2 linked regions of the Alligator mississippiensis genome follow. The protein of the gene in region 1 binds, or shares a complex with, the protein of each later gene. Links are inferred from orthologs where the notes say so. Each region holds a gene or a part of one and is shown in the gene's direction. Other genes may lie near its edges. The genes, in order: NRP1 and PLXNA4.

Evidence for each region.
Region 2: the proteins of NRP1 (region 1) and PLXNA4 are in contact, whole or in part, in a cryo-EM structure (PDB 7M0R), measured with the Mus musculus proteins. The link is inferred for Alligator mississippiensis from reciprocal best matches to the Homo sapiens genes NRP1 and PLXNA4. Residues at the interface, in NP_032763.2 of Mus musculus: Arg80, Tyr84, Asp126, Tyr127, Glu128; in NP_786926.2 of Mus musculus: Glu272, Lys340, Lys343, Lys345, Leu349.

The regions. Positions count from the first base shown.
Region 1 is NC_081828.1:193,672,027-193,680,210, reverse strand, and holds the start of NRP1 (neuropilin-1), read left to right. Parts: upstream 1-5,122; 5' UTR 5,123-5,637; coding exon 5,638-5,710; intron 5,711-8,184. UniProt on the Homo sapiens protein: Cell-surface receptor involved in the development of the cardiovascular system, in angiogenesis, in the formation of certain neuronal circuits and in organogenesis outside the nervous system. Mediates the chemorepulsant activity of semaphorins.
Region 2 is NC_081827.1:7,787,977-7,795,888, forward strand, and holds the start of PLXNA4 (plexin-A4), read left to right. Parts: upstream 1-4,864; 5' UTR 4,865-5,296; intron 5,297-7,912. UniProt on the Homo sapiens protein: Coreceptor for SEMA3A. Necessary for signaling by class 3 semaphorins and subsequent remodeling of the cytoskeleton. Plays a role in axon guidance in the developing nervous system. Class 3 semaphorins bind to a complex composed of a neuropilin and a plexin.

The DNA.
Region 1 (8,184 bases):
TGGCTTGTCTATGTCTTATGTGGAGCTGGTATCTTCATTGAAACACAAATACTGGTATATCATTTTTCTAACCAAATGTGAAAAGCTAAAATTGATAAAACCAGCTTATTATCTAAGGAACTTTTATCACAATTTAGGGCATGCTTTCTCTTCCTTTGAAGTCAGTGGGTGCATCTACAAGTGCACATTTACTGTGCAGTAACCAAAATTACTGCTCAGTATGAGTGCACCTTACACATGCATGCCTACTGTGCAGTAAATACAGCGACTTATGCTGACTTGACCATAAATTTGATACCTACATCATGCAGGTATCAAATTTATGCCTGTTTAGTTACTACACAGTAATGCATGTGTAGACACCTTATTGCGCAGTAACACTTTTTGTGTGGACTGTCTTGGGACTAACTTTGAAGCCTGCATATGTAGATGTTGGTCTCTTCTCGCTTACTGCGCAGTAACTTACTGTGCAGTAAATTTAAGCCAGTGTAAATGCATGTGTAGACACACCCAATGAAAGTTTTATCCTTGCTCTCAATAGGAATGTGATCAGCTCCTTAGCTTCAGACAGATCTATAGGTGTTATTTCCTTGATAATTGGTGATAACTACTTAAGAATCATTTTAGTCTACCAGGTATTGTTATTTCTTACTAATTTATGATTAAATATCAGTTAGGGTAATATAGTGTCATAAATTAAATTATGCTTCACATATCCTTTTTTTACAGCCTAATCAGAAAAGACAAACAACAGCAAGTCAAGCCACAAACAATAGTTCAGGAAAAGGAAGGTTTAGAGAGATGGCTGAGTGAGAAAAAGGGGAAGGAAAGGGTTGTGTAGATGTAGAAAAGATTCCAGGAGAGATTACTGGTAACACAATGAGGGGCACAGTTTAAGGAACTGAATAGAACAGAACAAAGCCTAGGAAAGAGGAAAAGATCTTCCAGTACAAAAAAAAAAAAAAAGAAAAAAAGAAAGAGAAACAGGCTCTTTCAGATATATGTGGCTGCATTTTGGAGACAGCAGAAGGCAGGGTAGAAATACACCTTATAGGATAGAGAAAACCATTGTATGTGAGAGTGAGTAGGAGGATGTACATTGTAGGAGGTGAAAACATATGGGGAAAGAAAGCTGTAGAGGAAGGCAAGCGTATGCGTGATCTTAAAGATAAGGGAAAGAAGCTTGAGTTCAGGGCACTAAAAGACAGGAAGCCATCTAAGAGATTTGAGGAAGTGGTTGATGGATCCAAAGAAACAGAAGAGTAGATGACATGAAAGCCCCATTTTGGACAGACACTACTTTAGCAGATAACTGAGAAACAGGATGGCCAGAGAAGACAGGATTACAAATAGACAAAGCATGAACTAGAACCAGATAAAGAAACTATCACATATTAGCTTTGCTTCCAGATCTGCAATAAAAACTAATGGAATTACTTTGATATAAAGTCACAGTGCACATCTCTGTTTGTCAGAAGCTAATATCTTGGATGGTTTTAATTTGTTCTATTCTTTTTCAAAATAACTCCAAATAAATATGTCTACCTTCATGATTATTTGCTTGCCAAACTTCGTTTTTTAATTAAATTTACTTCTGAGTTACATGAGTGCAGAAAAGAGGTAAACTTCAAAGTTGTTCTCTACTGTCGTTTAAATGGCAAACTATATTTTTCATTTGGTAGTTTAAGTTTTATATTACATGATTTAGCTAAGGGCAAATATTTGGTATGGCTGAATTATAAACTTCTCAAGAAGCAGGTTTATAATGGAAGTGGAGACAATCTTCAATAAGGCATTATAAACATTAAATCAAATTTCAAAGCAGAGACGGATCTGAACCAAAAGCCTAGAGGTGACCACTCCATGAACTTTGGCACAAAGTAGATTCAGATTCAGATGTTATAACCCCAGCCAGCCCCAACTAGGAAATCACTTTATTGATATAAAGATGTAAAGTTAAGCACATATGAAAGCATTTGCAGGATCAGTACAATAAAATGCAATAACCAAAATGTGAGAAATGGATTGCAGAACACAGGCTTCTGAGTATTTCATTTGATTCTAGTTTATATTTTAGATGATTAAAGATTCAACATGTTCAGATAATAAATAAATGGAAACTGGGGGCAAGGTGCTTTCAAACAATATTTGATGATGCTCATACATGGATGGAAGAGTGTGCATATGGATGTCTGCAAGAAAGAGATGAACAGAAAAAACATTGATGACATATGATAAGAGAAAAGGATGTTCGTATGCTGAGTTGTAGTACAATATCATGCACACTCAGAATAATATAAAGGAAATCTAACTCAAGATCTCAGTTTAGTTCTGAAGAAAGGAAGGAGTCCTGCTTTAAAGGAGGTTGCTGCTGTCTGGTAGCAAAATTGGATCTGTAGCCTAGTGCACACGTCTCTATAAGGGAAAAGGAACCATAGATTCTCTATATCTTAGTACACAGCTATCCAACTGGTGTCCTGCAGGCCACATACAGCTCTCAAGGGGTTACATTGCAAACCTCCCCCCCCTCCAGGCTCCTGCCAGTCTGCCACTCCCTCTGTCACTCCAAATGCAACAGCAGCCAGGGTCTCTGGCACCTTTGCCCCCCACCCCTTCCTGTCTCCAGTCCAGGGGGCAGGGAAGTGTGGTACAGGGTGATTTGGGGACCTAAGGATGCACTGCAGCTGTGGAAGGAGTTGCCAAGTGGGTGTGCAGTACCGCAGTGGGCACCATGCAAGTACACAGTGCAGCAATCAGGGATTGGGGACTGAGAGGCCAAGAGCCACAGGTTATGTGGCCCCCAGCCCCTTAGATGTAAGACAGCCCTGCCTTAGATTGTTGTAAATAGTCCTGGGATGTGGATTTAGTGCTCACCAGACAGGTGAGGTAGTGAAAGCAGCAATCATCACTTTTTTTTGCAAAATAGTACATGGATATTGCCTCCACATACATGGTGAATCTATTTGCTCTGTATTTACATGACTTATTTTAATTTTGATTATTTACATTTCTTTTAAAATATACAAAATAATAGTACTCTAAAGCTGAATATACATTTAATACATGAAAAAAGAACTTGCGTATCTGTTAGGAAAACAAAGTCAAAAGACAGATGGGTTTTTGTTTGGAGCACCCTAGAATAATGCATTTGGGAATGGATTTATTCTCTCTGTGACTTCATAGAGATGCACAACAGAACAACACTAGTCCCAAAGGAAGACAGCCATCATTTTCAGATGATGTGTAACATTTTAATACACTTATTCTTTGGGTGTTTGTTCAATAAGTAAAAATAAGACTATACTCAGCCTCTGAGACTGTTTTAAACACAAGTTATTAAAAACTCAAACAGACAACCTTAAATATGGAATTTACTAACTCAAAAAGTAGATACACCTCCTTGAAAAAGCTACATTGTGTCTCCAAAAGTGTCAGCCTAGCAGTTATATTAGGGATAGCACCATCTTAGGGGTGTGCTACACTGTGTCCACTCAGCATCTGTTCTTTAATAATCAGAGCAAAGTCATCCCAGACCCCCTCCCCAAGCTGCTGGAATATCACTAAGAAAGGCGGGGAAATCCGGTGGATCTTAATGTGCCATCCATAAAATATACATCACAATCGATCAAGAGGTATATGATGGGTGCCGAGACTGGCTGAAGACAGGGAAATGAGAAAAGGCTGAGACTAAACTTACTGTATTGACGTCTGACTAGCAGCTGGCAGCCAGCTCGTGATGAGCCAGGAACCAGTCTGCTCGAAGGCATAGGTAAGGGTTGAGATGGAGGAAAGAGAAGAAGTGGGTATTCAGCTATGATTAGGAGAACAAATTGCAGCTGAACTTTGGATATGATGAGACTGGAATCAGGAAACAGAAGAAGACTATCTGGTCCTGTGCCTGGCATTCAGGAACAACAATTATGATAGAGGGCATACTATAAAATAGTGATGAGCTAGATAGTCAGTTCTTTAAAGGACAGGACCATCTGCTCAGAAAGACAAAAGAATGGATAATGGAAATGAGGTGAGATTGAGTCAAGTTTGGAGGAGTCTAAGGCTGAGTGTGATTTCTCAGCAGGGATACAACATGTTTGTAGCTTTGTTGCATGCAACTGCAGACTTGTACAACTGTGTCTGAAAATTATTTCAACCACAGTTACAGGGGACAGGGATTTATGTTCTACTGCACAAGGCAAATGACCCTGGCCTCAATAGCGTCAAATCATTTTCTCACAGCATCCTCTAAAAAAATCTCTTTGTGGAACGAATTCCCTAATATGCTTTGGTTGCTGTGGTGGTGGTGGTAAGTTTTAACAGTGCTTGGCCCTGCTGTACACTAGTAACAAATTGTTTCCCAGCACCGGGGAGGAAGAAGGACCATGCAGCTGTAGGCTGTTTCCTAGAGCAGACCCATCCACCTTTCAGCCCTTAGAGGCCTTTCTCTACCCCTACCACAGCTCCCACAATAAAGGCAGTCCCGTTGAATCCAGGAGCTGCATGTGCCCTGCGTAAAGGGCTCCAATGGGGAGGTCTCCAAGGCAGGCCAGTAGGGCAAAGCAGGGATGGCAGCCGGACAGAAAGGAAAGAAAGATGCCAAGGCCCCTGTAATCCCAAGCCTGTCCCGCTGCTCGCCAGCCAGCGCCTGTGCCCTGGTGCTGGGGGCAGAGCGATGCAGTGATCTGCTTGCCAAGTATCTGGTGCTGGGCATTCCCTGCCCCAGAAGACACAGGCGGCCCCCTGGCATGGAGGGGGCAGGACAGGTTGTGGTAAGGGGCGAGAAGACACCCAGGCTGGGGAAGGAAGACTTCGAAGATGGGACGGGGAGGGGAGGCGAGCCCCTGGCAGCGGGCGGCGGCGGGCAGGAGCGGGGGAGTCTCCTCGCAGGCGCTGCAGGGGGCGCTGGGGGAGCCCCGGCCATGCCCCGGCTGCCGCCTGCCCCTCACCCCGGGGCGGCCGCGGGCTGGCGGGTCGTCCCTGGCTCCGGGCTGATCCTGCCCGGCTGCCCGCACCTCGGGGGGCGAGGAGGAGCCGGCGGAGGAGGAGGAGGAGGGCGGGCAGGGGGAGGGGCCGGGGCTCGGCAAGCGGCGGCTCCTCTGCCTCTCTTATTGCCGCGAGTCGCGCTCCCGCTCGCAGGCTGCGGGAAGGAGCCGCCCGCGAGCTTCGCACTTGAGCCGCCCGCCCCGGCCAGGTTGGTGGGGCAGCGGCAGCGGCAGCGGCAGCTCCCGGCCGGGGAAGCGGGTGCCGCGAGCCGGACGGCGCAGGGCAGGGCGCACGAGGCAGGAGGTCGCCCGAGGGCTCCCCCCTCATCGCCTCTCCACTCCCTCGTGTCCCCGCAGGCTCGCCACCCGCCCCTGCCCCCGCCCCCGCCCCCGCCCCGCCAGGATCCGGGCTCCGCCGGGCCGGGCATGGCCGGGGCAGCGCCGCCGGGGCGCGGAGCGAGCGCGGGGCCCGGGAGCTGAGCCGCGGGTGCGGGCGCCCGAGCCGCGACGCCGGGACTGAGCCGCCGCCGCCGCGGAGCTCGCCTCTGCCCCCGCGCCCGCGGGAGGATTTGGGATCGGAGACGAGCCGGGTGCCGAGGGGGCGCTCGGCTCGGGGGTTTGTGCTTCCCCTCTGCTTGCTGCCTGCCCACGAGGGAAGATGGCCTGGGGACTCCTCCTGCACTGCGCGGCGCTCGCCCTCGCCCTCGCCCTCGCCCGGGCTTTGCGGAGCGGTAAGTGGCGGGGCCGGGCAGCTGGGAGCGAGCGAGCGCCACGACCGCCGCCGGCGGGGCCGCCCCTGGGCAGCGCCGCGCTCGGGGCCCCGCAGGTGTCGGCGATCCCTGCCCCGCGCCCGCGCCCGCGCCGCCCTCACGCCTCCGCACCGGCAGCCCGCGGCTCCCCGCGCCGGAGCGGGCAGGGGACAGCGGAGGGTCCGGCCGGGCGGGGATCCCCTGACAAGGACTTTGGCAGAGACTTTACTTTCAGGCGACACTTGGACACGCAGCGCCGAGCCTCCCGAGCGGCCCCGCGGCGCAGCCGGGCTGGAGCAGGCTAGGGACTGTTTGACAGGAAAGAGCTCGCCTCAGTTCTTCCTCTCCCAGTAAACCCTGAGCCATTCCCATGAACTAATGATCAAATATTTACTTTGGCCTGACTGGGTTTTGAATCCAAGTGATTAAAGGAAGAGGCTTACAGTGGGATATGGTTTCAATAACAGAGACCACAAGTGGCGTGGCTGGCACAGGGAGGGAGTGGACTCCCCCTTGCTCTTCCCCGGGCGCTGGAGGAGGCTGCGGGGCTGGAGCCCTCCCGCAGCGAGCTGCCCTGTGCCAGTCTGAAGCGGGGCAGCATTAGTGAGCTCCAGTGGGGTCCCGAGGTGAGGAGTGGGCAGTGCCCCTCCTTTTCAGTCTGAAGCAGACTGTGTAGGTGGACCCCGCTGCTCCCTATTCGGGCCGGGCTTAGAGGCCAGCGTGGGAAAATCCTGGGGCTGTACCGACTGCATGGGACCGGGTGATGGGGATGTGTGGGGTGTGCTTTGGCAATAGTCTTCCTTCAGGAAGGAACAGGGAAGGCGGCGGCTGTTGCTGGAGCTAAGGAGCAGGCTCCCTGTGTATAGTCATAGACATGATGTAGTAGCCCTATCAAGGCACCAAGGCTGTTAACCTCGCCTGTGACTTTCCAGACCTACTAATGCCCTGTCCACCCTCATCCAGTACCAGTGCCTGCTGAATTAATTCATTAACCTTATTTAGTCCAAACGGCCCGAAGACATTAGAAACTGCTCTTCTTAATCAAGTGTCAGAGAGATTTCACAGAGCCGGGGAGTCTAACAGACCACATTATCTTATTATACTGTCACTTTCCCAGAAGTCGCAGATTAAAGAGCACTGGTGGTAGTGAGTGCACCTCTACATCTCCTGAAGTGACTCTGTCAAGTGACTAGAAACAGCACTGTTTTATTTCACTCATTTAACAGATGCCAGATTCTGCCATGTTGTTTGCACAGAGCTGAAGTGGATTTAATGAGGCAGGATTGCTTTCCAAGTCTGCTACACGCTGAAAATAATGCAAGGGTCTGTTGGAACCATAGGCAAAAAGATCACTAGTGGCACATTTAGGGCAGTACCTTTTGTTCTTGGCAATGGGGGGGAAATGGTTTCCAAAGCCAAAAGGCAAACAGATAATAAGCTAGTGCCATCCTAGGAATGGGTAGGAATATGCAGTCTTTGATAGCATGGGTAGGAATATCTGGTCTTTGGGAAAAAAAAAAACAAAACATAGACTCCATCACTTCCTTCCCTTATAATTTATAGCAAATGATTTCTATAATGCGTGTAGCTTTATGCATTTTTGATGCACACTTCATCTTTCATTTCCATTTGACCTGGTTTTCCTGTAATAAAATTCTGTACATTCATAAATTCATGCTGAGAGCAAGGAATGCCATTTTCCTTCCACGGGGAATCTATTAGATACAGTGTTACAATCAGTGTATACCATTATTGGGAAATAGTGATACATGGGCTTATTTATTAGTGCATACCTGCTTCTCTTCTATAGTTTATTGCCATATCTTATTGCTGAAAATGAAATATCGGTATATGGGGGAAAAGTGTTTTGGGCTGAAGATCCGCAGTAGGAAATCCATAGTAATGAAATGTGACAATGCAAGCCTATCCTGGACAATGGAACAACCAACTTGGCAAAGCCCTTTTAGCTTTGCATTACTTTCCTCTATTTAGTCTGCTAAAAAACATTATCATATTTCATTGTTTGCAAAGGAGCAAGATGTAGAAGACTAAATTTCATACTTGCATCTGGTGACTGGTAACTTTTTCAACTGTTTAGGAATAAACCTTTTGTTGCTGTTGTTTTTGGGGGGAGAAAGCGGTTCTGCTTCATTACTTTGATCTGGTCCCCAGGCATGAACAAACTTCCTTAAAGGAGTAATACTGAATGATTTCTGCTTCACTAAATGCACTTTGTTCTCTGTTAGTCTGGATTTAAAGAGCACTGATAACTTCAAATTGCTTAGATTTATGGGCTGATAAACAAAAGAAGGGTCTGCTGTGAGCAAAGTAGGGGACTACAAGACAACCCCTGATGGTCAATGACACAGGCCAGGCTTATTATCAAATAGCTGTGCAGGGGGGCAGACAGCATCTTTTTAGACCCTTTCCACTTAAAACTTGTTGCCTAATGAGAT
Region 2 (7,912 bases), on another chromosome or scaffold:
AAAACTGTCGAACAAGCGAGCTGCCGCTTCTGAATCTAGCATAGCTGGAAAAAAAAAAGAAGAAAGAAACCAAAGAGGAGGCAGCTGGCATGAGGACCAAGATTTATCAATCCCTAAAAGGCTGAGATGGAAACAGCTATCAGAACATCTCTCTGCTGCCCCTGGGTTAATGCCGGACTGTCCTCAACACTAAATTTTCCAGGGGTCTGTCCAGGTGGGTGTTGTATGTCTCAAGCCAAAGACTCAGAGACAAGACCCTCCCTTTCCATTTTCCCACTTCTTTTTCTTTGGCACCAACCGGGGCATATAATCTGTGCAATCTGCTCAGTCTTCCCCTGTGTCGGCCAATCCCAAAAGCAATAGATTGACTCCATTCCTCCCAGGAGTGCAAGGAATGACAATGCAAAGCACTGGACCAGCTTTAAAACAGATTGTAATGAAATTTTTACACTCTGATAGCACGATAAAGACATTCTTTGTCAGAAACAGAGACGGTGACAACTGGGAAGGGGAGGCCGATTTTTTTGTCTCTGGATGTCAGCAAAGCTAGGAAAGTTGTTTAAGCTTCTAACATCAGAAAGAGAAAGGGGAGGGGGGGACATCAGGATTTTGATCCAGGAAATCGAAGAGCTGAGCAGAGCTCCTTCAGCAGCCCCAGCTATTACTATATCATTGTGGCATTTAGCATTTGGAAAATTAAATTAACTTAACAGCTTTTGATTGAAGGTGCTCCTACAGGACGTGTGAGCAACGAGAGGTGTGCCATGCTAGGATAACCTGGGCCTGGGGCACCATTGCGAGATGCAAGGTGAAATGAGGGCCCTCGGGGAGCTTAGAAGTGGCATTATCCCGGGCACCTGCACACCCGGGAGTGCATCTCTGCACAATTGCACACTGTGGCGCACATCAGCAGAGACCCCAGCCCCATCCCACAGGGTTTTTGTTTTTTTAACACTCCTTATCTTGGATTAAGTGATTTCCAGAGCTGCTGAAATTTCTGGCGGCCTGCAGGTGGCACCACAATTTAGGTTTTTAACCGCCAGTTGCTCAGATTTGCAGAAACGCAGACCAAATCGGAAAGCTGCGCCAGCTGACTTAGTTAACAAGCATCTCTGGCTTCTATCAACTTAAAGAACTGGTTGGTTTACAGACCTGTTAAATGGTGGGGGAAGGAGGGAGACTTGTTGGAGTCGTCCTCTTTCTTTTTACCTTTTTAATTTTGGCTTCTCTGTTGCATAATTAGGGACAGTCAAGTTAAAAAATACCCTAGGAAGAAATATATTTTTCTGATCAGAAACCTTCGGTGTTGTCATAAATGATCCCTGTATGTGGCTAGATAACAAGGCACAAAATGAAAGGCTGCGTGTGCCGGTAGCTATCTACCGAGTCGCCATCGGGGAAGAAATCTCCGAGAGTTTAAATGGGGAGCGCAGCGACTGTATCAAAATCTAGGACATTATTAGCCATGGGAGGCTAAACAGGATGTTTTGGACAGCAGGGGGGAATCAGGCACTGCAGGTAGACAGCACGGAAACAGCTCTCCCCTGCCAGACTCAGTCCACACTAATGTAAAGTCAGGCCTCGATCCTGATCAGCGCTGAGCTCTCACCATCGGCGGCAAAGCACGGGCCCTCAGCGATGCTCAGGATAAGGCCCGTTCTCTTTGCAGTCAGCAGGCTGGGGACAATCCTGCTCACGCCATAGTGGACGGCAAAAATAATCCCATTGATTTTGACTCTGCGGATCCGGACCCCGCATACCCTCGGGCTCTTTTTCTGCAAGCATTCCTCGGGTCAGAGGAGGCCGCGTGGGTTATCCAGTCCTGACCCCTCTCCTCCCCCCACTGCCGAGTGCATGAAAGGGCCTATAAATAAAGTCTCATTTGTCACTCATTCTTTTCTGGACTCCAGAGAGCTGAGGGATGCGTTGACTCCAGCCATTGTTTTTTAAGAACGAAGAGGAATTCCTATTAATTAATTCTTCCTCCTCCCCAGCTAATAGAAAGGAACAGGACTAAACCCAGATCATCTCTTCTAAGGACGGCCGAGTTGTAAATGCTGAGCCAAATTTCCCAGGGATTTTCACGTGCATTATGATATCCAAGCGCATGTCAGAATGGACATTAAATAATACCGTACCGCTCACGGCGGCAGCGATCTGCCGAGGTTATTCACCTGCCATTGTATCTTTCGGATTTCTGTCTCGCTCTTCCCTTGTCATTTTGTGCTGTTATTACTCTTCAGGTTTTGCATGGCATTCATTTCTCTGAATGAAAACAAATGACTCCTTGCAAGAGGCAGGAGATAAAGCCTAATAAATACATTTTATGCGCCACCTTAAAAGGAGGGGGGTTGGAGGGTGGGCTTTGAATCCACATTTATCCATCAGGAAATGTAAACCAGAGCTCAGTCCATGTACACATGTACATACACACAGGTGGGGAGAAGGAGAGATCAAACTTGTTTTGAGGAATACACAATACTGTTTAAAAATAAATGCATCGGGGCAGAAGGGGATGGAAATAGATTTCACCCCGGTGTTTTGCTGCATGCACATGAAAGGGAAATAAGAACATAGTGCTTTGAAATATTCATATGTATTAGTGTTGGGGAGGCCTTGGCCACAAAGCAGAGCCTGGGTGCTGTGCAAAGTCAGGGTGAGTCCCTGCCGCCGCAGCGCGTGCAGGCTGGCTGTCCTGGGATCGTGGTCCTGCTTGGAGGAAGGGCCTGCTGGGTGCTGTGTGCACACAGCCCTGCACAGAGGCAGCTGTAGGATTGGACCCAAACTATTTCCCAACCATAATGGATCCAGCACCAGAGCCCTTGGCCCTGACCTTTCTCTTTCCTCTCCCTCTCCTGGGCCTTTCCGGTAGGGAGCTGGCCTAGAGGACCCTTGGGATCCCTTCCAGCCTGCTCTGTAAATGCCCATCACCTGAGCATTTAGGCTACATGGCTTTTTTTGGTAAGGAGCTGAGCTGCAGCCCCCTGGCTTGAGCTGATTTGCACATCCCAGCAGCAAGGCTTTCCTCCCACCCTGGGCATTGCACTGCTCCTCCACCTTTGAGGAGGGCCCAACTGGAGCAGGTCAGGGGGTGGCGTGGGGGACAGGGGGTTTCCGAGGCTGGCAAGCAGGACCTGGGGGAGGGGGTAGGAGAGAAATCCCAGCCTGCAGCCTCCTCTTCCTGGCAGACAGACCTGCAACTTGCGCGGACCAGCGTGTGGCTTGAGAATTGGATGCTTTAAGTCACCGCAAGACCCACGAATGAGCCGTGGTAGAGATGAATGGAGGGATTGCTGAGGATAAGGATATTTGCTGGGAAGAAGGGGGGAGACAGAGGAAGGAAAAGCAGAGGGCTGTCAGCCTGCAGCCTCCTTTCCCTGGAGGAAAGACGCACTTGTGCGGACAGGTTTGTGGCTCGAGGATTGGACTTGAGTCACCTCAGGGCCCACCTGTGAGCCCTGGTAGAAATCATATTTGAACGGAGGGACGGGTGAGGAGGACATGTGCTGGGGAGACTGCAGCCTGTCAGGGCTGAGGACCCATCCACGAGCTGTGGCAGAGGGTCCTCTGCCCCGGCTATTTGCTGGGGATGCTTTGTGAGCCGGGATGGAGATCATCCTTGAATAGAGGGATGGTTGAGGCTGATACGTGCTGGGCAGCAGGGGAGGTTTCAGCTTGTCTGGGCTCAGGGCTCAGCACCCATGCATGGCAGGGATCAAGATGACTTCTACCCTGGCTGTTTCCTGGGAAGCAAGGGAGGCTGCAGCTTATCTGGGCTCAGCTCCCACCCATGATCCGAGGTGGAGATCAGGATGATCTCTACCTTGGCTATTTTCTAGGCAGCAGAGGAGGCTGCAGCTTGTCTCGGCTCCGCACCCACGCACGAGCTGAGATGGAGGTCAGGATGATCTCCACCCTGGCTATTTCCTGGGCAGCAGGGGAGGCTTTGGCTTGTCTTGGCTCAGCACCCATCCATGAGCCCTGGCAGAGATCAAGATGATCTCTACCCTGGTTATGTACTGGAAAGCAGGGGAGGCTGCAGCCTGTCTGGGCTCAGCACCCACCCATGATCCACCGCAGAGATCAACATGATCTCCACCCTGGCTATTTCCTGGGTGGCAGGGGAGGCTGCAGCTTGTCTGCGCTCAGCACCCATCCCCCTGGTACGAGGCTGACGGTGCCTTCTCTCCTGCCCTCAGGGCTCAGCACCCCCATGCTCCCCAGCACAGATCAACATGATCTCCCCCTGGCTATTGCAGGATGATCTCCCCCCCTTGGCTATCTCCTGGGGAGACTTTGGCTTCTCCGGGCTCAGCACCCACCCCTGCTCCCCCGCAGAGATGAGGGTGATCTTCCCCCTGGCTATTTGCAGGATGATCTCCCCCCCTTGGCTATCTCCTGGGGAGACTTTGGCTCCTCCGGGCTCAGCACCCACCCCTGCTCCCCGACAGAGATCAACATGATCTCCCCCTGGCTATTGCAGGATGATCCCCCCTTAGCTATCTCCTGGGGAGGTTTCTCCGGGCTCAGCACCCACCCCTGCTCCCCCGCAGAGATGAGGGTGATCTTCCCCCTGGCTATTTGCAGGATGATCTCCCCCCCTTGGCTATCTCCTGGGGAGACTTTGGCTCCTCCGGGCTCAGCACCCACCCCTGCTCCCCAGCAGAGATCAACATGCTCTCCCCACTGGCTATTGCAGGATGATCTCCCCGCCCTTAGCTCTCTCCTGGCAGCAGGGGAGGCTGCAGCCGGTCTGTGCTCAGCCCCCATCCCTGCTCCCCGGTGGGGACGAGGTGGTGTCTTTGCCGGGCGGCAGGGAGCGCGCGGGGGCTCCTCCCCGCCCCGTCCCGTCCCGTCCCATCCCATCCCGGCGCGGCGGGGCAGGGGCAGAGGCAGAGGCAGGGGCGGCAGAGGAGGGAGGCGCGGCGGAGGCGGCGCTCCTAGGTGTCAGCAGCGAGCCACGCCGCGCCGAGCGAGCCGAGCCGAGCGAGCCGAGCCGCCGCGGCGCAGGGAGGGAGTTGCAGACTTGGCAGCGCTTCAGTGCGCGGGCGGCGGCGGGCGAGGCGAGGCGAGGCGAGGCGAGGCGAAGGAGGTGGCAGCAGCAGCAGCAGCAGCAGCAGCAGCAGCAGCAGCCCCGCTCCGGCCCCGCACAACTTGGCTCGGGGCTGCGGGCATGGCGGAGTGAGCATCCCCCGCGCCCGGGCTCCGGGGTCGGGGCCGGGCTCCGCCGCAGCGGCAATGCGGCGCCGGCGCTGAGCGCCCGGGGGAAGCGGCAGCCGCAGCCCGGCGCCGCCAGGTAAGACCCAGCCTTGCCCAGCTCCCAAACTTTCCACCCCTTGTAGCATGGAGGAGCCAAAACCCCCCTCACTGCTTTCTGCCCCTTGGGGATGGGGGTGCCCCGCAGCCTCCGCGGGCTGCCAGGTGAGCGCGGGGATGCAGAGAAACCCCTCTGCATGGGTTGTGTGAAGTTGCAGCTTGAAAGACCCTCCTTATCCCTCCCTTTCAAACCCCCCCCAAATTAAAGAAAGACAGCTAGCTGCCTTTCATTGAGTCCCCCCTCCTGTTTCCAAACTTCCCCCCGGAGTCAGCGCCGCTTGGGTTTATTCCCCTGCAAAAAAGCGCCTGGTTGTCATCCACCTGCTTTTCATGGCTTCCCTCTGCCACAAAGAGCAGGCGATGTCGCCGCTGGAAGTTCGTGCAGGTATCCGAGGGGCGCGGGGGCACGCCAGCGGGGCAGGGGTGGGCACCGCTCGCCGTCCCTCCGGCCAAGGGGGTTTTGTGGGGGGTGACAGGCGACTCGGTCCCCCCCGCCGCCTCCTCTCGAGTCCTTATTTTAGCATGCATCGGGTCTCCGCAAATATTTTGGAAGGCATCAAGCGTGCTACCTTCTTTTTGGATCTGCCCTCTGTTTCACTCGGGTATCGTTCATAAAAAAAAACAACCCAATAATCTTTGAATGGATAGGACCAGCGGCGCATGGGGTGGCTTGTCTTTGCCTTTTCTGCCTTTTAATTACAATGTGTGCCTCTCAGCGGGAGATTAGGTGGTGTTTTTTTTCCACCCCCCCCCCCCCTTCCCTCTTTTCCCTGAGTCATAGCCTCGAGGTTTCAGGGATCAGAGCAGCATTTAGGTTATTATTTGAATTGTCTGTTCTTTAAAAAAAAAAATAAAAAAAAATTTGGGAGCCCTTAGGTAGAGCGTGTTTCATCCGAGCGGGGCTTCAAACGGTGCAACAGATGTGCTCCGTGTCTGCTTTGCTCGCACGTTCGGGTTGGAAGGAAAAAATTTCCAAACTGATGGGTTTTTGTTGGGTTTCCCCCCCCCTCCTTGGCCTGAATACCTGCTACACGAGGATGCCTTTAAATAACTTTGTCTAGTGAGCTCCTTCCTCGGAGAACTGGCTGCAGCTTTTAGCCGGAGCCTGCCATTCAGTCCTGCCTTAAATTTGTGGCCGGCGGAGAAATCGATAGGATGCAAAATAAATGACAGCTGTGAGATTTAAGTGGTGTTTATGTCCAAGACAGGCGTTTTAAAATACCTCCCGAGGATCAATCACGGTGCTTTTTGGAAGCTTTTGCTGCATGATTGTAACTGTCTTCTAGGCGCCAAAGACCATTTTTAAGTCTGGTCCATGTAGGCAGCCCAGTGCCCTGGTACGTCAGGGGTGAGTGCTAGGGAAGATCCTCAGAGATGCACCGAGCCTCGCCACTGGGGAAAGGAAATGCTGACATTTCCCTTTATTTTCCTACGTGCCAAGCTCCCCGCAGGTCTCTGCTCACGCTGTGCTTGGTGCTGCACAGACGTGGCAATGAGGGGCTCTGCAAGTGGTGAGGCAAGGCAGGCAGCCAGGCAGACACTCCCAGGAGGACTTTGGCTGCTGAGTTATGATGGGTTGTTTGTAATGGTCCATAATTAAGGTGGAGGCCTTCACTTGCAATGGTCTTGGCTGTGCCAGGAGTCTTCCAGCTTCATGACTGAGCCAGGACTCGGGATTTCTCTTGTGGGACTCCTTTAACAAGCCACGTCTCTCCCCCTCCACCCCAGTTTCCTTGCCTTCAAATGGGCACGCTACCGTGTGCCTTCCCGGGGGTCCTGCAGCTTCCTGAGAGCCGCGGATGCAAGTAAGCTGTAAGCGCGTTGTAGCGCGGTGCGTTTAGGGTTAGTGCTGCTTTCAAATCCACGCCTTGCTTGGCAGGGAGATGGAAAAGCTCTTTAGCAATCTGCTGCTCGTGTTGTCACTGGAGGTTTCCGAGCGCCGGGCTAGCATGTCAGTGTTGCGTGGCATCGGGGTATTATTCGGTTCTGGGGTCAGTGGTACCAAGCTTTGCAGACTGGAGTCGTATATGGATATTTTGAAGAGAATTTGCATCACTTTTGTGTGTGCTAATAGGGCTTTTGTTACCATAGCACCTGAGGGCCTCACAGCTATGAATGGATTTTATCATCGCAACGTTCTTGAAACGTAGGGATGTGTTACAACCGTTTGATTAATACAACCTGAGCTACAAGGGCACCTAGAGTCTGTGGCTGCGCTGGGAACTACACGTGGGCCTCCCATGTCCCAGCCCAAAATCCTATTCAGCAGTCCACCCTTCGACCTGCATGAGTAGTCGTAGGTGTGGTTGTCATTATAATGCCTTGTAGGGCCTATTATTGATGAAGCACAGGCTGACTGGTGCTTCTCGGGGCAAGAAGAACAGGGCAAAGGGCTATTTCCAGTTCCTTCTTTATGTGGAGTTGGGGGCATCTTCCAAATATGAGTGATGCACTAAATAGCCCCTCCAAACATCGGTATGACTGAGGCTCCCTGTCTGCGAAGGAAGCCTGAATGTGGCTGCAGCTTATACTTGCTAAGTGCTGTCTGACTGCTGGCTGATGAGCACGCAGTTAGGAGTTTAAAGCACATTAGCTC